Danio rerio: one gene and its partners. The protein of the gene in region 2 interacts with the protein of the main gene of each other region in a pairwise test. Links are inferred from orthologs where the notes say so. Each region holds a gene or a part of one and is shown on either strand. Other genes may lie near its edges.

Region 1 (8,016 bases), on a different chromosome or scaffold from region 2:
CACTACAACATATTATGGTGCCAATTAAAACAATCATTGCTGAATGTTTCTCTTTTGTGCATCATCCAAATCATTAAGCAGATAATGAAATCTGGATAGTCATTGTTAATGGCCATAATAACTATAGAAACATTTGTAACTTTAAGACGCCCCTTTAATATTATCATCTAAATATGATCATTTTTTCTATTAATATTCTTTACATTTTTTTTAATTATTGCACTTATTTACACTTTTTTTTAAATTAATTTATTAATGCGAGTTTGTTGTGGTTTTTCCTGTCAGGCTTTAGGAGATCAGAAAATCGCCACTATGGTGGAGTGTAAAGATTTCCGTAAGGGAATCATCCAGCAGGAGTGGGAGCACAGGAGAATGAGGATGCAGCTGGAAGATCTCAGCAACAAAGCCAGAAACATACAGACGCTGCGCATCACTCAGGACATTCAAGATGTATGGATTTAAGCTTTTATATATGGATTTAGGCATTTATATAATTAGGAAACTGATTTTAATCATCTACATTTATTTCAAGATTTTGAATAATGATTAAAATAATCTCAATTTGTTTACCTTGGTCAGACTACAGTTGTCAAAGTAACCTAATGAAGATTTCAAATCGATTTCTGTATTGCAATTATAAATATTTGTTTCTTTGTATTGTTTATGTCAGTACCTGAATGAAACAAATAATGACAACAGGGTGTCAAAGCAACTCACAACTCTTGAGAGGACCTTAGATTTACAGAAAACGGTAAGCTTCATTGTTATTTGTCAAGCACCTTCTATAAATAGGATGAAAAGTGATTTTAATGAGTATTTCAAATATAAAAGTTTGATTTAGCTCCCCTCTTGCCACAGGCTCATCAAAAGAAAATTGAGATTTGCAAGAAACAGAAAAGGCAGCTGGACAGACAAGTTGCAAAGATGCAGGAGAAGAACGCAGCCCTTGACTTGAGAGTGGCAGAAATGGAGATAACGGTGGCAGAGAGGAGAAATTTTTACGAGGCTGCTGGTAACTGACCTAATGTCTTGCCCATTAAAGACAGAATTCATCCAAGTATCAATATACTTTTAGCAGAAACAGAGTCTGTGGTAGTTTCATTGTTCAGGAACGTGAGAATATTTTGATTACACTATTATTCAAAGGTTTGGGGTCAATACATTTCTTTAAAGCAAATTAATTTCAATTAAATTCAATAGGGTAATAAAAAAATGTAAAATTCAAACATTTTTAAAAAAAAATTGAAATTCATGGGCAAAAAACAAAACAAAAAGGGGGTTTCTAGCATCAAAACAAAAAAGCAATGTCTGCGCAATAGCCTAGTGGTTAGCATGCCGACATGTGGTGCAGTAGCACGTCAGAGTGACCAGAGTTCGAATCCTGGCTCGAGGACATTTCCCTACGCCTCTCTCTCTCTCTCTCTCTCTCTCTCTCTAACTTTGCTTCTTGTCTCTATACTATCTTACTATTTTAAAAAAGGCCAAAAATAAATCTAAAAAATTCAATACAGCTTTGTTTTTACATTAAAATGTTGTTTACATTTTAACATATATTTTACCATAATTTACAAAAGCCACCCATTAAATTGGAATTTTAACAAGTTTACATAAAAGGCATATGTAAATTTGATATTTAAAAACTCATATTGGAGCCCCAAAAAATAATTAACTGCAATTATTAATATTTATATTTTAACACTGTCTTTCAAAGCATATTCTGTTTTATTTGTTAAATAACTATTGTACATTTACAATTAAAGTCAGAATTATTAGCCCCTGTTTTTTTTTTTTTTTATCTTTGTCAGACTCAGGATGTTAGTAAATAATATTTGACTAGATATTTTTCAAGACACTTCTATACAGCTTAAAGTCATAGGCCTAACTAGGTTAATTAGGTTAACTAGGCAGGTTAGGGTAATTAAAAAATTAAAAACTGATAAAAAATATTATCAGACATACTGTGAAAATGTCCTTGCTCTGTTAAACATCATTTAGGAAATATTTTGAAAAGAAAAAAAAAATCAAAGGGGGCTAATAATTCTGACTTTAACAGTCATTTTATAAATTGTGCAGAACAAAGTATCTTAATCTGTAAAAACAATACGCAGAATTCTGAGATAAATTATCATAATTGACACTTAAACAGCAGAGATTGATTAAACTGCTCAAAAATGCTTTTTTTGATGAATAATTTGACTACTGGAGTTATTCAGCTTGGCCTTCATATAAACAAATTGTGTATCTATATATTGATCATCATTTACTGATTAATGTTTATAAGTTAAATAAGAACTCTTTAAAAAATACCCTATGAACAGAAGTATATCGAATTAAAGAAAAATATATTTTTAATAACAAACGATTTGTACATTCTGCCTATGGTTGATGAATTAGGACTCACCATAGCTGTTTATCCATATTTATTAATGGTGCTAAAAATGCATAGGAGCCTGAACAGCTCACAAAATTTGATAACATTTTCTTTTTCCAGCAATGGAAGATAACCAGGAAACAGAGTCAGACAAGAACTACCAGGACATCCTCCTGAGAAAGAAGCTGCTGGCCATCGCCAGAGCTCAGTCTGAAGAGCTGCTCCTGCTGAGAGCGGAGCTGGAGAAACTGCGCATGAAGAACTTCCCGTCTCTCTCGCAACTGCACTACAACTGACTCTACATACAAAACGCAACAACTTTACCTAAACAATAAACAACACACAAAGGTGCAATAAATTATTATACAGTTCAATCAATTGACAATCTTTCTTCGCAAACGTTTTAATGAACAAAGCTCGCTGCAATCTGTTTGAACTGTGAATAAAAATTGCTGAAATGTATTCACGTGTCTGTGAAGTCTTCCTCTGTCCTATCAAAGTGCAGTAGTTTATCATTAATCCCAAAGCTGTCAATAAGTTGTGAAAGACTGGCTTGTTTTCCACCTGTGGCCAGTTCTCTCTGTAGTTCATACAGCACAGACTGAGCACAGGATCTCCATTTGTCTGTGAGCCTCTGCAACTCATTCAAGTCATTCTGTGGAGAGAGAAAAACAGCTTCAAGAGCAGTATGCTTCGCTCACAAATAAATCATTTACTTACTTATGGTGATATTCATCAGAAGTACAAAATAAAAAGTATCGCTTTATATTAGACTCTGTCATTTAGTTTGTGGCATCTCAAAATACAATGTTTGCATGTAATCATTTTTCACCATTTGGATGAAACGTGAATATATTTTATATTATGGCTGCACGATACTGGAGAAAATATGCAATATGCGATGGTACTGTTGAGTGTTGCAATAACAATATTTCCTATGATATAACAAACTTTTTATTAGCAATTTTTTTGACAAAAATAATTTATTTACTCTACGATTATACTAAAATAGACAGGTATATGATTCTTTGAGCCAATTTTAAAAAAATGTGTCAAGGTTCAAACATTTAGACTTTAAAACACCTTGAATAACTGAAAACCACTGCTGGAGTTCTGATTCTCATTGGCTGCTGTCAATTTAATATCTTGTCTCCCAGCATTAATATTCACTTTCAGCTCTAGGTTCACCTACTGTAAAGGTGGGCATTAAGATAGTTAAGGCCTCTATGAAATACAAAAACATAAAAGTAATTTAATTTATTGCACTTCCCTGTGATATACATTTAGTCATTTGGCACACACTTTGGTCCAAAGTGACTTACAATTGAGGCAAATCATCAGTACGAGGCAGTACATACAGCACGGGCTAATTATACAAAGGAACAGTTAGTGCTTAGAGAATATAGCAAGAGAATATCAGCAAGAGATTTGGATATTGCATATACTATTACTGCAATAACAATGATTTTTCAATATATCTAAGCATATTGTTATGGTGTGCCTGCGATCATTAGTTTTTGAAAAGTGACTTATATTTCATTAATATTTATTTCAAGTTTCTACATTCTTCTCTCGTGTCCCTCGAGTTCTAAATTAAGGGATAAAATTTAAAAAACATATAGAATTTTTTAGTATAGAAATTAAAATAAAAACGTAATTTTAAAATTCCAAGTGGTCAATTTAGAAACTCCATTAATTTTCTAATTTTTTACAGAACTTACAAAAAGGCATATATACATATATCAACATATGAGATGACTTATATTATATTTTCATTATATTAGTTTTTTGTTGTTGTCTCCCAGCCATAATTTACGAATTTATATTTACCTTTTTCCTGTACATCTTGACCATCTTTAATCTCCTCAAGGTTTCTGTTCTCTCCTTCACCGCTTTTCTCAGCGCTTCGCATTGCTGACTGGGGAGCTCAGCTGTGTGGTTCGAGTCTCTCTGCAGCTTCATGTCATTCCTGTTGACATCAGTCTCTGTAACGTTAGAGTCTCTGTCGTCTTTGACACCGTGTTTCTCTTCTTCTCCCTGCTGTGAAGGCTGAGGCTCAGTGTCATCCTCTATTTTGAGTCGTTTTACCACACTGAGGGGAGACTTGAACGAGTGTCGAGATCTTTTTAGCTTCTCCCTCAGCGAGGCACTCATGGGCTGAAGAAAACAATGTCAACAATGATCAAAAGAAAGCTCAGACATGCAGCAGAATTATGTTTCGACGAAAAATAACATGTAAGAAAGAAAAAGTGATCTATCTTTTTCGCTAATGTTAGTTTATGTGAAAACAAATATCGTATAAAGTCAAAAAGACAATAAGCTTTACCTTTGCAGTACTGGACCTGTTTGAAGACTGCTCGGCGCTTGGCGTAGTTTCATCAGCTGCTGTTGGTTTTATCGGGGTTGTCTCCATGTTTTACAAGATACGAAAAGAAAAAAACGACTACATAACTTTATCATTTGTGATTTAGTACTCTCCAAAGCAGTTCTGTGCGAATATGATCTTCCATTTCTAAAGTTGTCAGTGAACACAGCTGTTTTGAAACTGGTGCCATTTGTTTCGTCGTCACTTCCGGGACCTTGTTGCGTCGTTGTTATTAACAAGACTCATGGGTAATGTAGTCTAAAAGAACTATTAGTGTATTTTGTTTGCTCTAAATTTAGTTATAATGAATTTAACTTATCTTAGTGGCCACATAAATAAAGGAAAGTTGCTGTCCTTTAATTTGTAGGGATTTCGTTATATGTATATTGAGTGTAGTCTTGTGAGACAACAGTTTCAATGCACAAACTAGCACAGTACAGCCATTTTATCTTTGTATAGCTTGCTGATTTAAGACATATTTTATACAGCGTGGTAGACAATTACATTATAAAACTGTAGGAAGAAACTGTAGCGGAGAGTGGGTAACAAAAGCATTGTTACATTTGATTTCCAGGCTATAACAGCACATTTAGCATGCAGCCCTTGATGGAGATGACAAATATCAGCTGATTTTGCGACCTTGTCCTGCAGTTTGGTCTAAATTTCAGTTTTGAAGTGGAAAAAGAAAATTAGTGTATGCTACTTTTTTCCTCATTACAAGTTGTGTTTCTCTTTTCATGTGTTACGGTAATGACCAATCTACAGGTTATTTAGTGCAATAACACATCCTTCAGTTTGCAATGTCTAAGTTTTTCAGTTTAAAAGTAAAGCAGGTTTAAATGGCAAGAGTTCCTGTGGCGACGAAAGTAACACTGTTATTTGTGTCCCACTGCTAATAGCCATGCCTTATTTTCACTTCCACGTTAGTGTTCAGTGTTTTGGCTCATATGCTTTATAAGATTGATGCATATTGCCAATAATAATTAAATAATCTTGAAAATTTGTATAAAATATTAACATTTTGCATTGTTGGATTGCTTTTGTAACATTTGATGGAACTGAAATTTAAAATGAAAATGCAGTTCAGTATTTTTTTGCCAAAAAAAAAAAAAAAAAGACAAGGATAGGCGTCACGGTGGCACAGTGGGTAGCATGATCGCCTCACAGCAAGAAGGTCGCTGATTAGAGCCTTGGCTGGGACATTTTTGTGTGGAGTTTGCATGTTCTCACCGTGTTGGTGTGGGTTTCCTCTGAGTGCTCCTGTTTCCCTCACAGTCTAAAGACATGTGGTACAGGTGAATGAATAAGCTAAATTGGCCGTTGTGTATGTGTGTGAATGCAAGAATGTATGGGTGTTTCCCAGTGTTGGGTTCCGGCTGGAAGGGCATTCGCTGTGTAAAAAAACATGTGCTGGAAATGTTGGTGGTTCATTCCACTGTGGCAACCCCTCAAGAATAATGGGACCAAGCCGAAAATGAAATGAAATGAATGAATGAATGAATGAATGAATGAACAAGATTACGTCAGTGAATCTAGCAAATATTGTTGTGCTACTTTTGACCCACCCGTGTGTTACTTTCAGTAACAATGTGCAACTTTTGTTTAAAGTTGGAGTTGTTCTTTGCTGAGAGAAAATAACAACTGAGCACACAACAGGTTTTTATGAAAAATGGTACTTTCGTGCCCGCTTTTCCCCACTAAAAAAAAAAAAATCTGTGCCTTAGCGTTTTATTTTAATTATCTTTAATTCACAAAATAATACAGAAAATTTATATTTTAACAGATCAGTTAGCCAGTATTGATTATTAAATTGACCATTACACAACAACAGCTACAAGAAAATTACTGGGATAAATTAGTCAAAATGAATGATGTTGAAATGAATCAAACTCTGAATCTACACTGATGAGCCCAGTTATGCAGTGTTTATATAACAGACATGCTCAGTAAGCACTGTCTGCACACAGAATAATTATGGATTTGGAGAAACATTGATAAACAATAACAGTTAAGTAACACATTCATAAAGGGAAAAAATCAGAGTCATATTGCATCTGTGGTTCAGAACATTCACGTGTTTTTATTTAAGCTCACGACTGTTCTGCTTCTTCTGCAAATCTTGTTATAACTCGCTTGCCAGTGATACCATAATTGTTTAATAGCTGTAGACTCATCATGTTCTCTTACATTTTCCCGGTGATTTGAATGAGGTCTAGTTCAGTGGTCAGGGAGAGAGAGAGATGCACATGAGGTGGAGTCAAAGCTCTTTTGTGAATCATATGCATTTTGTCAACAGGGTGTGGTCAATGGGAAAAATGAATCAAAAGAAAAAAATATTAATCTCAATAGAAACAACACCCTTTTCCCCTGGGAAGACTGAATGTCCTGAATTCCATTTGGAATACTTGTGTTGTTCAATGATCCAGTCGTTACCTGATGATTCACTGATAATGAGTCATTAACTTACATAAATATAGCATTCAATTTAAAAACCTGTAAAAATAATAAGAAGAACATCCTTGAATGGGCTATGTGCACAGTGTTTTTTAACCAACGGTAAACTTCCGGGGAAAGGTTAAAATGACTATGGTTCTTATGTTCTTATGGTTCTTTTTACAGTATTAACATCGTAATGTAATTAAATCACAATCACCAACAATCCAATTGCATTGGATATAAACATGATATAGATTCTAAAAATATTAATTCGTTCATTCATTCATTTTCTTTTCGGCTTAGTTCCTTTAATAAATTCTAAAAATATAAAAAATAAATAGATAAAAAAGGCAAATATAAATATGTATAAATTTTTTTATTTATTGTTTTTACAGCTTAATTTTATTGAATAATTATGGGATAATATCTTGGCAGAAAACTAATAGTGCTGTGCATTTACTTTTTTCTTCTCTTTTTTAACAGTTTAACTAAATGTAGGCCTACCGTATCCTTAATTAACCCCTCTTCACTTCAGTTTATAACTGCAGATACAAATGCTATTTTTTTTACTTATAAGCACATTCAATATGTGCTCAATATCTGTACTTTCATACTTTGTTGTTAATAGATTTTTCATGACTAAATTAAGTATTGCATTATTTACAAATCATTTGTATTTAAGAGTAGTTGGTGGCTTTTAGAATCATTCAAATTGAGTTAGTAAACGATGAATAAATCAGTCAAATCAATATTTATATCTTATTATTCAGGCATATACTAATAGTTATTTTGTCTGTTAATAAATGCTTTATTAACTTAACTTCATCCAATTTTGTAACTTAAT
Region 2 (7,219 bases):
TGCTTTCACACAGTTTGAGGTGAAGTTTGAAAGCAGTACCTGGTTTGAGAGCAACATTCATGCACTGTGAAAGAGCCTCAGAAGCGTTGATACAGGCCTCGATACCCTTAGGAGAGGACAAATCTCCTTCTTGCAAAGCCTTAATGTGCCCTTTTGAAAGATCCATGTAGTTCTAACATGATGAAAAGAAGATAAAAAAAGGTAAAGAATAATTGAAATAATAGACAATATTCATTCATTCATTCATTTTCCTTCAGCTATTTATCAGAGGTTGCCTCAGTGGAATGAACCGCCAACTATTCCACCATATGTTTTATGCAGCAGATGCCCTTCCAGCTGCAACCCAGTACTGGGAAACTAATAGACAACATCAAAGTTGTAATTAAACTGTCATTTTTTTATTGAAAATTTTTTAATCAGATTTTTTTTGGATTACAAAGGCAAAGTAAAGAAAATCTAATTATACAAAAGAAGTCTAGGGACAAATAAATGTTTATACAAGATTCCACAATTAAGCCATTAACTATTGACTATAGGGGTCCAGGGGTTTGTACATTGATGAAATGTAATCTAAAATAAAATAAAATAAATAAATAAAAATAAAAAAAAAATACTTTTTAAATGAAGAAAAAACATTACATAGTTTATATGTGGCTTAATATGCTTTGACCATTAAACAACACAAGCTTTATTTTTCTGGTAAAAAAATTATCACTTTAAATACAGGAAAAGCAGAGTTTCCCAAACTAGGGTCAATAAGGGAAAAGTAAAGAATGAGAAAACAGTAAAAGAAAAGGTTTTATTACTGAATTATTAATTTTTTTTTCCTTAAAATCTAAACTTAAAAATCTAGATTTGAGGTCAGTTTAATTAAGTTTTCAACACACTTTAACAGATAATCTGAATCTTACTGAGAGTGAAATTGCATGAAATCCATTTGTATGAAATCCACATGTTAAAGAAAAGCACATCAGATTACAATATAAGGTCCCTTTGGCAAAGTCTAACAGATTTTAATTTTAATTTGTTTTCGTGCTATTGACTTGCTAAATCCTAATAAGACGAGGTTTTTAGTACTACTGATATTGTATGTTGTCTGTCTTGTGTGTGTTGTCAATTTTGTAAATCTATTGTGCTCCAGAACAAATTGCCCTAAAAGGGGACAATAAACAGTAACAAAAAATAAATAAATTAAATAAAACTGTTCATAGCCAACCAAATATTCATGTTCTTTAAGCAACAGTTTCTGATAGGGCCAGACGGAATCTGCGGACGTTGTATTAGCTATTTCTGCTGAGAATTTTGGTAAAAATCTGCAGATTTCAGCAGAATTATTTTGGCAGTATCATAACTAAAACCTTAATATGTGAAATAAAAATTATATCTTTTTAACTTTTATTTAATGTTTAAAATGCAAATCCAATTAGATCCACTTTTTGGCAAACAAAGCAAATCTCTCATTTAATATCTCTACTAAAAGACTTATTGCACATAGATCAGATAAACATTTTCATATTAGTCAATAACATTACAGAAATATTTAAAAAACTGAATAAATAAATATTTACACACATTTACTCAAATAAATAAACAGAATTATTGATGGGCTAAAAATCTGTGGAAATCTGCAAAAAATCTGCGGATTCTGTGTGGGCCTACTGATGGGTCACAATGGATCACTAATTTTCCACCCTACCAGTATATGCTTGTTGAGGATTGCATCGCCAAAATTATGATGTGCACTTGTATACCGTGCCCTAACATACCACTAGAAACTGTATCTCATCCAACAGTTTGCCATTGTTAGTGTTGCTGATTTGGATGAGACGGTTGCTCTGTGAGATCTGGTCCATCTGCTCCTTCACGCTCTGCAGCATCTCCTCATAACTGAGCAGCTTCCCCTCGATGGTGTCCACCTCCGCCAGAGCCTGGTCCAGCAGCTGCATCAGGGTGTTCACCTGCTTTTCAGACGCCATGATGGACTGGATGTTAGCCTGATCAAAGAGGAAGAGATATTATTAGTCACCATCTCTAAAATCATACAACTGTCAACCAATAATCAAACTACGTGCAACTACTGTATAATTTACTTGCTAATCAGACAAGCTTTAAGCCTCACTCACCTTGACCTGTAGATAATTATTACACTTGGCTCAATATAGATAAAAATCCTGATGACTGGTGCAATCAATACTTTTCAGGTGCTAACACGACATAAATCCATCAGACTAGATCAAACTAGATTTTAAACAGCTTGGTAAAACAATGTTCTAATAACACTCAAGATTTCGGCAACAAGCGATTGCATCAAACACAATGCGACACAACAGAAACATCTAAATACTAGCCATTCATTTAAATATCAGCCACTGCACTGCCAACAATATGGAAGGTTATAATCTAACTAATATGTATTTAACTTCATTAGAACATTATTACATAGTCTGAGTGACAGATGTGGTTTAAGTGACTGAGTCACAGTTTAGACTTCTGCAAGTTTTGTATGGCAATAAATGTCACATATAGAGATAACCAAAATAAATAAAATAAAGCATATAATCTCTACTTGAGGTGATAATTGCCATAGTAGAATTGAATATGCTGTTGTTTTGCTGTATAACGTGACCGACAACTCAATTACAGTAATTAGAGTATTAGTAATTAGCTACTTTACATCACTGATTATGGGTATTCTCTAGCTGTACCCTCGATATTGAGGTGAATTGTGGGATTTTCTGAGTGCACTTCAGAATGTCTATGTTGGCTTCGGACACCTCTACAAATGGCTGCTCCCTTGAATGTGCATTAAGTGTATCATTTAAGGGTCTAGGGGGCAATTTCTGTTACAGCCAAGGAAATATCTGAACATACTCACCCCATCTAGGACCTGAAGCTCACGAGACAGTTTCTCTGCGAAGGCCTCAGCGTTGGAAATGGCGTATTCACAGACCTCCATCATGCCCTCAATGTCCTGCTCCTCACGGGCATTCAGCTCCTGATAGTCATCCAGAGCGTCTTCATCTCCACCAGCAACACTCTGACTCTCGCCACTCGGAACCGACTCTGGGAAGAAGAAGAGACAGGGATCATTAAAAAAAAGTGTTTATATTATACATTATGCACCACTGTTAAAACGTTTGGGGTCAGTGTAAATTTTGTAAAAAAAATAAATAAATAAATAAAATACTTCAGAAGAAAAAAAATACAAAAGTGACAGTGAAAACATAAATTCACAAAAGATATTTTATGTCAATGTAGCTATTTTATTGATGCATTTATTAATATTAACAAATGCAGACCTTTTTTATTAAAGAAGCCTAAAGAAACAGATGAAGAATGAGGTGACACTAAAGACTGAAAAAATTAAGCTAAAGATTTGCTTTGTATGTGAAAACTGTTATTTACATTGTAAAAACATGTAAATATGTAAAACTGTGTATATAATATGTTACATTGATAATACTTTAAAGCAGGAGTGTCTAAACTTGGTCCTGAAGGGCCGGTGTCCTGAAGATTTTAGTTTCAACCCCATCTTTTTAGGTATACTAGAAACTTCCAGGGAGGCGTGTTGAAGGAAATTGGAGCTAAACTATGCAGGACACTGGCCCTCTGTGACCGAGTTTGGACACACCTGCTTTAAAGTGATAGTTCACCAAAACTGAAAATTGTGTCTGAAAATCGTATAATCTATTCACCCTTAACTTGTTTAAAAATCTATTTGAGTTTCTGTCTTCTGTTAAACAAATAAAAAAGATATTTAGAAAAATGCTGGCTTCTGGAACACATTGACTTCCATAGTGGTCTTCCACAGGAGAAAAAAACTCATAAAAGGAACGTAAATGATGAGGAAATTTTCTATTCCATTTAAAACTATCACTTTAAACAATTTAGCTGTTTTTCCAATAAATAAAAAGAACTTTAGTGAACATATCAGGTATTTAAAACATTTCTTAAAACTCTAACCAACCCCAAACATTTGAACAATAGCTTAGATATGCATGTGAGTACATAAACTAATCTACTGAACAAATAAAATGTAAGTAATAAAAAAACAAGCACACATAAAAAATCTAAAGGGTGAGCACTGTCTAAATATATGAAGATATCAGTAGTTGAGCAAACTAATTAATTGGCGGAAAATAAGAGCATTAATGAAGGGGAAACAATAAGAGAAGATGGAAAAAATGGAGAAGGAAATGGAAGAGGATGAAAGGTGGAAAAAAACAGCGTACAAACCTTCAGCTTTAGGAAGCTCTGGCCAGTGAGAGATTTAGAGAGAACAGCACAGATCTGGTTAAAGCATTAAGGGCACTCAAAAAGACACATTGCAGAACCAAAAGAGACCCAAAGAGAGAAAAGAGAGAACTAGCTGCAGGAAAACAGAAAGAGTCCCTACCACTGCAAATGTAATAATTCTATGTAACAGCTTTAGATTTGTCATATGGCTTTAAGGTAACTGCATCTTAAAACACAGTGGCTGTTTAACATGCTATTACTCCACCACACCACCAGGAGTAGCAGCGAGTCACACCTTCTAGCAGCTGAGGGCTGACGTTTACAAACTCCACTTTCTTGCGAAGGTAACGCTGGTTCAGCTTCCAAATACACGAGATGAAGGAATTCTTCTCTGCTGTACTGCTTGCCACCCAACGATAAACCTTCTCAAAATGCAGGTCAAACTCTGGGTTTTCCTGCATGAAGGAAAAAAAATAAGATATCAATTACATACAGGCTGATGCCCATTGATTATAAGTTTTAGATTAAAAAAAAAGTAAATGTAAGAATAAGAATAAGAATCAAGAAAAAAGTAATTGCTGTAAAGTTCTACAAGTGAACTTAGGAATGATATTACATTATATAGAATAACATTACATTATAATGCACCGTATAATTAAGTGTTCTTAAATAATTAAGATTTAAAGAGTACATAAATGTTTAGTTAGTCTGGATTTGTTTTAACTGTAAAAAATCCAAAGAAACATTCCTTCACGGTTTCTGGCATTGTGAAGAAATCATCTCTTTTTGTAAGAAAGCACATCATTTTCTACAAGGACTCTTTAAGATACAATTGAGTTTTTCTCTGGAATTGTATTTGTTATATGGTGAAGTAGAGAATAGGTTGGACTCCCACACCAAGCATTTGTTTTAATCTTGGTCTATTTGGCAAAGAAAAGTAGACTTTTATTGTGGTCATCTCCTCAGGTACCCTCCTATAAAATGTGGTTGTCTCAAGTGTGTATGCTACCACTTGAGAAACTCATCTATGACATACATCAAAAGTCCAATGACTTTTGGCAGCTATGGACACCTTTTTGGCCTTTCATTATTATTTTCACCAGATTTTCTCTTCTATGGTTTATACTCATAGCCTGACTGTATCATCCTGTTTACTTGTCTATATAATTTAATTTTTTTCCTACTGTATAGCTGAGACTGTATTTGTATGTGCTGATGTATTAAAATAACCGATGATAAAAAATAAAAAAAAAACGTTTAGTTAGTCTAAAAAAATATATACTAAAGAAGTGTGATAACTGTTGACTGAAACTGATTTTTCCATTAATATAAATAAAGATGTAATCATTTAATACAAATTAGGTTGAAAATCCTAATTTAAAATGTTGCTTTGGCAACTACCTGAAATAAGTTTAAGCACTAAAATGACAAATCAACAAATAAAATAAGTGACATTTAAAAATAAATAAAATTATTATTTTTTATTTTACAAATGTAAATAAATCTCAAAATATGATACAAAAGCCACTAATGACAATACATTAATAATCCTAAAATATACCTGTATCCAGCATCATCAAACAACCGGTAAGATAATAATATCAATATGTAACAGAAATGTGATTATTTGCATTTATGTCATGCTTGAACAGATATATAACCCACCAGTCCTACCATCCAACCCGTTCTGAGCTGGGATCGAACCAGCGATTTTTTTGCATGGGAGTCGGTGGCTCTAACAAGGTTTCATACACATTTTTACTACAAAAATTCCAGGACTTTTCCATGATTTTTCCCAAGACTTTCAAGTAAATTCTTATGACCTAATGTTTCATGCAATGTCTACATATGCATGGTAAAAAACAATACATTTGTATAATACCAAAATTATTACGGCATATACTAAAACACGCAACAATCAAATTAGTTTCAATTTATATTTATTAATTCATTCATTTTCTTTTTGGCTTAGTCCCTTTATTAATCTGGGGTTGCCACAGCGGAATGAACTGCCAAATTATCCAGCATATGTTTTACGCAGTAGATGCCCTTCCAGCTGCAACTCATCACTGGGAAACATCCATACACACTTATTCACACACATACACTACAGACAATTTAGCTAACCCAATTCACCTATAGCGCATGTCTTTGGACTTGTGGGGGAAACCGGAGCACCCCGAGGAAACCCACATGAACACAGGGAGAACATGCAAACTCCACACAGAGATGCCAACTGACCCAGCCGAGGCGATAGTGCTACCCACGGCATCGCCATGACACCCAATTTACATTTATGTCTATGTAAAATTTATTTAAGCTGAAACTGCACTAATAATGTAAGAGTATTTGATCAACCAAGGACAGAAAAGAAGTAAAGACAACGAACCTATATTAAAGTATACAGATATGTGTTGTCCATGACTTTTCCAACTGTCAAAATTCCATGACTTTACCAGGTTTTCCATGACAGTATGAACCCTGTCTAACAAGGAGACTAAAGACCATGACCTCTAGCGTCTGTTGCTAGAGCACGTTTTGAGGTCAGAGGAGTGAGGTTTACCTGCACAGCTCTTTGCTAGCTGGCCTCCGCTACACTTATAATGATTCTCATGTAACCTCTCACCTTATTGGCATCTTTAGCATCAACCTCTGTCAGGTCTCGTAGTTCCCATGCCATCTGTCTCTTATAGAAATCTCCTTTATCCGACTTCTTCACTTTGACCACCTTCACCTGCACTGGACGCTCTGTAGTCACTGAAAACAACAAAAAGACACCAAATAAACAAACGGATGCATGATGACATGCTCTGACTTGGATCTGTGGTGTGTGTCAGTGCTTTACCGGTGGCACATAGAAAACAATTCTTCTTCTTCTTCCCTGCTTTACAAACATTGACGATGCTCAACAGGCGCTCATCATTGGGAGTGAAAATATCCCTCTGAAGGGCGTGTTTAATGGCAGTCATGATTAGTCCTGAAA
Region 3 (7,885 bases), on a different chromosome or scaffold from region 2:
CAGCTGCTGAGCGCAACGCAATACAGGCTGTATTTTATTACGTGCTGCTCTTATGTGCTGAACACTTTCCTTTACTTCAGATATAATAATCAACATCTTTAAATAAAGCGAATCCCCTATTAACTGTCATAAAGCCTACAGGGAAAATCATGTTTCAGTTCTCTCCGGAGCGTTTGGGCTGAATGTTGGACAGATTCTGTCTAGAGGATGTTATCCAACACATTTTATATCGAGTTATTAGTGGAGAATTTGATATATGTGGTGTTATATTATGGATGTGTGCGCTCCCTGCGCTGGGTCCCTCCGTTAGTGGCGAGACCACTGGATTTCGATGCCAACAGCCGGTCGATGAGTAAATGACTATGATGAATGAGAACACAGGTCTGTGTGTATAGACGTATAATGTGCTGCTGTACAGTAACGGGTCGTTTGTGTGTTTGGGTTGTCTTTATTTTAATGCTCTCCTGATGATGATGATGTGGTGGGCTTTATCTGCCTGATTCCCGCTGAAGTGGGCGGGTTGTGTGACGTTTTAATTCGGGGGATGTTTTGGGGGCGGGGTTTGCGTGACGCGCTGCGAGCTAGTGAAAGAGCAGAATGAGCAGAGCGGCGTGCGCTAGCGCCATCATGAGGCCCATCCTGCAGCCAGTTCTGAAGTAACCAATCAGAGAGCAGGATTGAGCACATGACTGACATCATCTAATGCAGCGAGAAATACAGAGTAATATGGAGATCTCTCTCACGGCCCGCCGGCCGACACTCCTGCTTCAACAGACTCCTCTGCTGGACTGTCATTCACTCCAGCTCCATGTGCTTTATGCAGAATATCAGCTGTTTCCACTGCTCTGTGTGTGTGTGTGTGTGTGTGTGTGTGTGTGTGTGTGTGTGGCTCTGACTTCACCTTGCTGTGTGTTCTGCAGCGCACCGAAGCCTCCAAAGCCCAGAGCTCCTCCACCCAGAGCCCCAGTGAAGCCTGAAGCCGGAGCCGGAGCGCTGGAGAAGCCGAAGCCCTTACTCTGGGTGTTGAAGAGACTCGAACCTGCAGGCGGAGAGGAGACGCGCTCAGAGACAAGCACACACACAAACACACACACACACACGCATGCGCACACACAAGCATACACACACACACACACACACACACACATATGCATGCATGCGCACACACAAGCATACACACACACGCATGCGCACACATACACACACAGTGTCCCATTTCAGATACACACACCACACCCTAACACTGTGTGTGTTAGAGACGTGTGTGAGGTGTGTGTAGTAACTCTGCAGTGTGTGTGCACGGGACGCAGCATCTCTCCTCTCTCTCTCTCTGTATGTGTGTGTGTGTGTGTGCGCCTGTACCTGTGTTAGCCGGTGTGGAGAAACTGAAGCTTGACCCAGTGCCGGCGGAGGTGGTGGTGGAGCCGAACCCGCCAAACGCTCCTGCTGGAGACAAACACACACCACAGATGAAAAACACACACTCACACACACGCACACGCACACAACAGAGACGAAAAAAACACACAAGATGAAAACACACACACACACACACACACACACACACCGGAGATGAAAAACACACTCACACACACACTCACGCACACGCACACAACAGAGACGAAAAAAACACACAAGATGAAAACACACACACACACACACACACACCGGAGATGAAAAACACACTCACACACACACTCACGCACACAACAGAGACGAAAAAAACACACAAGATGAAAACACACACACACACCGGAGATGATGAGCACTAACTGTTGATGACATGATCAGAGTGGCACCAACACACACACACACACTACGTCTGTCTGTCTGTCACTCTCTCTCTCTCTCTCACACACACACAGGGATGGAGGCGTGGCGTGATCTGATCATGCGTGACCTTTGACCTCTCGGAGCTCATCTACCTGCTCCCCCGAGGCCGCTGCCGAAACTGAACACCGGGGCCGCAGGGCCCAAACCGAACCCGCCGAAACTAACAGCAGCGGCAGAGGGGGCGGGGCCAGGGCCCGCACTGCAGACCAGGGGCCCGAATCCTGACCACAGCGGCCCCAGGAGAAACACACACACACAAACAGGAGAGAGTCAGTGTGTTAGAGACAGCGCGCACACACACACACACACACACACACACACACAGGAGAGAGAGAGTCAGTGTGTTAGAGACAGCGCACACACACACAGGAGAGTGTGTTAAAGACAGCGCATGCACACACGCACACACACACACACACACACACACACACACAGGAGAGAGTTTGTTAGATACAGCACACACGCACACACGTGAACGCAAGCAAACACATGCTCGCACGCACGCGCACACACACGAGAGAGAGTGGGTTAGTGACAGCATATGCACGTATGCGCACACACGTGCTCGCTCACAAACACACACACACACAGAAGAGAGTCAGTCAGTGTGTTAGAGACAGCACACACACACACACTCACCCGTGCCACCAGTGCCGAAGCCGAAGCCTGTGGAAGCTGATGTGGTGGTCGGCGCTCCAAAGCCGGTTCCGGTCAGACCTGTAACCATGGCAACAGCATGTTAGCAGCGCGTGCGTGTGTGTGTGTGTGCACGCGCAGTGAAACATTACTGATGATGAGGATGAAGGCTGTGTGCTATACTGCATTAGAGGACTGTATAGGGGCGATGCTGTCTGTGATGGAGAGGAAGGGAATCCTGCTGTTATTATAGTTAATTATAACTGTTTTCATGCCTGAACATAACGAAACCACAGAACAGACCCGCAGTGAAGAGCAAGCGGCGCCCCCTGGTGGATCAGCAGTCTGGGTTGTGTATAGGGAGGATCGGCTCTGATGTTTGTTGCCAGCCTCCAGAGAAACAGCTTTACAGGATGATATCGGGACAGAACCGTCACATACAGGAGAACGGCGGGAGGAAGAGCAGCAGGGTTGACGGTGTGGTCTGCTGACGGCAGCTGAACTGCAGCACATCTCTCTAACCACAGTGACCCCGTCATCATTACAGCATACAACTCACTCTGACTGAACTGTGACAGGTCAATATAACCAACAACCAGCAGAACCCTGACCACACACACACACACACACACACACACACCACTCAGATGCAGAGTGCAGATGACGAGAGCAGAGTGTGTGTGTGTGTGTGTGTGTGTGTGTGTGTGTGTGTGTGCTGAGGAGGGAACTGGGGGAGCGCTGCTGTTATGTGTAATGGAGGTCAGCTAGTGAGTGCTGTGCAGGTAAACCTCGATCCTCCGACCTCTAGAGGTGCTCTAGCGACAGACACTAGAGGCCATGGTGTTTCGCCTCCTTGTAAGGCCTGGTTTATACTTCTGCAGCAAGTGAGCGGCGTGACCCACGGCGCATGTAACGCGTGTAGCTGTGCTTATACTGCTGTTGCTAGCTCTGTTGGTCTGCATTAACACTTCTGAAGCACTAGTGGGCAGTGAGGTGTAAATGTTCCTCTGTGTCGAGTTTCTTCGCTGCTGTTTTGCTATCCTGAACACTTCCTGGATGTACAAGTGGCTCAAACTCGCTCATTTTGAGGCAGGAACCGGCGGACGTGCAGCAACTGTAACCATGAGGGAAACACAGAACAAAACTCTCCATCCGGAGCTCCTTCACTTGTAAACATTCGCGCGGCTCTCGGTCCCGCCCAGACTCGTCAGCGATACCAAGCCGACCAATCACAGAGCTTGCGCTACGCGTTGTTGTGACGTGTAGTTACATTTTTTGAGAGGTGCACGTCAGCGACGCCGATGGCCACGGCGAATGGCTATTGGTCAGCGGCGTAGCATACGCCACCGTTTGCCGCAGAAGTATAAATCAGCCTTAACATGCGAAAGGTCGCCGGTTTGATCCCAGCTCAGTGCAGGTTGGGTGGTGTGGGACCGGCGGGGTGACACATGCAGACCTTCACCCCAACACAACCCCTGACAGAGCTCACTAGCAGACTCTACAGTGAACTCCTGCTACCAGCCAATACTGCAGAGCACAGCAGCGGTACTGGAGTGTTACTGGAGTGTGTAGTGTGTACTGGAGTGTGTAGTGTGTACTGTAGTGTATACTGGAGTGTGTAGTGTATACTGGAGTGTGTAGTGTGTACTGTAGTGTATACTGGAGTGTGTAGTGTATACTGGAGTGTGTAGTGTGTACTGTAGTGTATACTGGAGTGTGTAGTGTATACTGGAGTGTGTAGTGTGTACTGTAGTGTATACTTGAGTGTGTAGTGTGTACTGTAGTGTATACTGGAGTGTGTAGTGTATACTTGAGTGTGTAGTGTGTACTGTAGTGTATACTGGAGTGTGTAGTGTATACTGGAGTGTGTAGTGTGTACTGTAGTGTATACTGGAGTGTGTAGTGTATACTTGAGTGTGTAGTGTGTACTGTAGTGTATACTGGAGTGTGTAGTGTATACTGGAGTGTGTAGTGTGTACTGTAGTGTATACTGGAGTGAAGAGTATCAAAAAACGTCACTGATCACAAATTGAACATATTAAACTAGCTTTACCTCACAGGCCCGGGAGAGAGGGAGAGTGTGTGTGTGTGTGTGTGTGTGTTTACCGAAGCCCGTGGCGCTGCTGGCGGTGGTTGTGGTTGAGGCGCCGAAACCAAACGGAGTGGATGAAGATGACTTAAATGAGAAGCCCGGAGCGCCTTCATCATCATCACCATCACACACACACACACACACAGTTATGAACGCACAACAGCAGCCGCACAGTAATGAAAACACACACACACACACACACAGAGCAGATGAGATGAGCGCCAGTGGTTTACAGCACAGTGGTATCAGGTTTACAGCAGTATCAGCGCTCCTGCAGCGCCGTCATCATGTTTAATGTTCATTATTAATAGTTTTAGATTAATTTTACTCACTCGCGCTGCCCGACGCGCCGCCGAAGTTGAACGCCATGCTTCCGGTCCTGAGCGAAACGGTCCGCCCGGAAACAAAAGCTGTGAACAAGAGGTTCCTACCGGTAGCGTCGCGTCACACACTCCTCCGGCGTAGCGCGCGAAAACATTGATATAGATTAAAGTGAAACTGGAGCTCATCAGCAGAACAGCGCCGCTCAAATGTTCAACTGTGCTTTTGCACTCAGAGTCCGCCATGTTGGGACATTAAACCTGGCCGTTATTCAGTTGCGGCTCAGGATGTGCTGCAGTCAGCAGACGACATGAAGACAGAGACACAACCGTCAACATTAATAAAACATCTTTATTAACACACCATGATGATCATGAACACACACACACACTCGTGCAGATTCACACACTCAGGCCCTTCTTCTTCATCAGGGTCTTCTTCTTCAGCTCCGTCAGCCGTTTCTTCTTCTTCTTCTGGGGCCCCGGGGCCTCCGGCCGTGGGGCTTTGGGCTCCGCCGGGGTGTTGAACACGGCCTCCGTCAGGTCAGGCTGCAGCAGCACACACTCCTCCATCCGCTTCTCCATCCGCACCTGCTTCACCATCTGACGCTCCTTCTGCCGCGCGGCTGCAGCCAGTCGGAGCATGCGCCGGTGCTGCACACACGCGCACACACACACACACACACACACACACACACACACACACACACACACACACACACACACACACCAAAACAATATTAACACTCAGATCAATAACAGATCAGTAGCAGACAGTGCTGCGTGCGTGCGTGCGTGCGTGCGTGCGTGTGTGTGTGTGTGTGTGCGCTGCTGACCGCGTTGGGTGACTGGAAGTGTGGGTTCTCGTAGAGCGTGGGTCCGCCGAAGCTGCCCTGGAAGATGCGTATGGGGTTGAGGACGAAGCGCGGGCCGATCTCCACCAGCGAGGCGTCCTCCTCCACGATCTGCAACAGGAGAACAGCGGTCAGTGGAGCGCCGCAGAACCGCAGATCCTCTCAGAACCGCAGAACCTCACCTGATAGTTCCGGAACCAGATCCTGTGGTCTGCAATGCTGAAGCTGATGACATGATCCACGAACGGCTGACTCTTAGGGTGGTGCAGCGGGGTGGAGAAGACCTGCAGGACACGAGCAGTGTTAGTGGACATTGCAGACCAGTACAAACCAGTTTGAACCAGTCTAAACCAGCTATAAACCAGCCTAGACCAACTATAAACCAGTCTAGACCAGCTATAAGCCAGTTTAAACCAGTCTGTGCGCTAGTTTAAGTCCTGAGCATGTACACTGGGGCGAATACACACACACACACACACACACACTGGATTAAAGGCGGCTGTAGCTATGGCGGGGGCTGATCACTGAGGGCTGTTCTCACATGCCGTCTTTTCTACAAGCTAGTTTGCTTTTTCGTGAGCGGCACGATGTGCTCACGCTTTCCAGGCACACCAGGTTAAAAGAACGGTGCGAGCGCACTGTGCATCACGTGACTAGAATGGACCAATCAGCTTCATCCTTCATATGGAACACACACATTACTGCTCATGAGAGAAACACGAGATGAACAGCAAACACACTCCTAATGCAGCCTGCGACTGCACACACTCTCTCTACAGGCCAATACTCACAACCACATCAATAATACAGACAGCTGTTATTGTGCTCACTGACTGACTGATTGATCTGTCGTTTATTTTCAGTGAACACATTATTCCTCATGTTTAAATGCCAGAAACTCTTGTCTTCTGTTGAGTCCACAGGGAAATGCTGCTGGGTCTGCTGTGCATCAGGCAGCGAGCCGCAGTGAAGAGCTCTATACTGTCACCAGCTGATGCAGCACAGCAGCGCCATTACACATGACAGAGTCTTCCTCAGACTACAACCACACATCCAGCATCTGCAACCCTACATGCCAGAGTCAGACGAGGAAGATGAAGATCAGAGGAAGATCAGAGAGGAAGATGAAGATCAGAGAGGAAGATCAGAGAGGAAGATCAGAGAGGAAGATGAAGATCAGAGAGAGATGAAGATCAGAGAGGAAGATCAGAGAGGAAGAGATGAAGAACAGAGGACAAACACTGAAGAGCACCTGAGTGAAGAGCTCCTTCAGCAGTGCGTACTGCGGCTCCGAGTCAAACGCCTGAAACACACACACACACACACACACACACACACACACACACACACACACACACACAATCATCATTATTACACTACATACCATCATCACACACGCTCATCATCATCATCATACACACACACACACAATCATCATTCGTACACTACACACACCATCATCACACACGCACATCATCATCACACACACACACATCATTATTACACTACACACAACATCACACACACACAATCATCATTATTATACTGAACACACAATCATCACACACGCACATCATCATCATCATCATCACACACACGCACGCACGCACACACGCACCGGGTCGAAGGACAGCAGTGGTCTGGAGCCCTTCAGGCAGTTCCCGGTCATCTTCAGCTCCGCCAGAGTGTGAACTGAGAGAGAAATAAAGCTGCTGCTCTTCAAACACTTCAACACTTATGCACACGCAAACACACACACACACACACACACGCAAACACACATGCAAACACACACACGAACGCACCCACACACACACACGCACTGCGGTAATCACTGATTAATTGTGCATAATTATATTCAGCAAACCCCCACACTGATGCACAGTATAGCCCAGACCCTGTGTGTGTGTGTGTGTGTGTGTGTGTGTGTGTGTGTGTGTGTGTGCGCGTGTGTGTGTGTGTGTGTGTGTGTGTGTGTGCGCGTGTGTGTGTGTTTCCATTGGTGGAATTTTAATGGACTTGTACCGTTTTGAACGAGAAACTTCACCGACGGTCCGTGAGGAACATTAGAGATCCTGGAAGAGAAGAGCAGATACTGTGAACATGAACACACACCACACACACACACACACACACACACACACTGCTGT

The links.
Region 1: the proteins of exoc1 (region 2) and sfr1 interact in a two-hybrid assay, tested with the Homo sapiens proteins (2 studies listed by BioGRID and IntAct). The link is inferred for Danio rerio from reciprocal best matches to the Homo sapiens genes EXOC1 and SFR1.
Region 3: the proteins of exoc1 (region 2) and nup54 interact in binary tests that used the Homo sapiens proteins (3 or more experiments, as listed by UniProt). The link is inferred for Danio rerio from reciprocal best matches to the Homo sapiens genes EXOC1 and NUP54.

Annotation. Positions count from the first base shown.
Region 1 is NC_133188.1:27,956,422-27,964,437, forward strand, and holds sfr1 (swi5-dependent recombination DNA repair protein 1 homolog), read right to left. Parts: upstream 4,946-8,016; 5' UTR 4,785-4,945; coding exon 4,698-4,784; intron 4,529-4,697; coding exon 4,202-4,528; intron 3,027-4,201; coding exon 2,839-3,026; coding exon of another isoform or gene 2,835-2,838; exon of another isoform or gene 2,696-2,834; coding exon 2,692-2,695; 3' UTR 2,668-2,691; coding exon of another isoform or gene 2,492-2,667; 3' UTR 2,406-2,491; downstream 1-2,405. Other genes in the region: cfap43 (cilia- and flagella-associated protein 43), read left to right, coding at 286-450, 671-751, 859-1,012, 2,492-2,667. UniProt on the Homo sapiens protein: Component of the SWI5-SFR1 complex, a complex required for double-strand break repair via homologous recombination. Acts as a transcriptional modulator for ESR1.
Region 2 is NC_133195.1:28,554,840-28,562,058, forward strand, and holds part of exoc1 (exocyst complex component 1), read right to left. Parts: intron 7,214-7,219; 5' UTR 7,206-7,213; coding exon 7,082-7,205; intron 6,994-7,081; coding exon 6,863-6,993; intron 4,692-6,862; coding exon 4,532-4,691; exon of another isoform or gene 4,507-4,531; intron 4,255-4,506; coding exon 4,237-4,254; intron 3,064-4,236; coding exon 2,876-3,063; intron 1,995-2,875; coding exon 1,767-1,994; intron 173-1,766; coding exon 40-172; intron 1-39.
Region 3 is NC_133196.1:122,129-130,013, forward strand, and holds the start of nup54 (nucleoporin p54), read right to left. Parts: upstream 4,946-7,885; 5' UTR 4,931-4,945; coding exon 4,894-4,930; intron 4,669-4,893; coding exon 4,576-4,668; intron 2,551-4,575; coding exon 2,473-2,550; intron 2,055-2,472; coding exon of another isoform or gene 1,926-2,054; intron 1,447-1,925; coding exon 1,363-1,446; intron 1,040-1,362; coding exon 902-1,039; intron 1-901. Other genes in the region: bxdc2 (ribosome biogenesis protein BRX1 homolog), read right to left, coding at 5,284-5,535, 5,718-5,846, 5,918-6,019, 6,988-7,038, 7,354-7,427, 7,761-7,810. UniProt on the Homo sapiens protein: Component of the nuclear pore complex, a complex required for the trafficking across the nuclear membrane.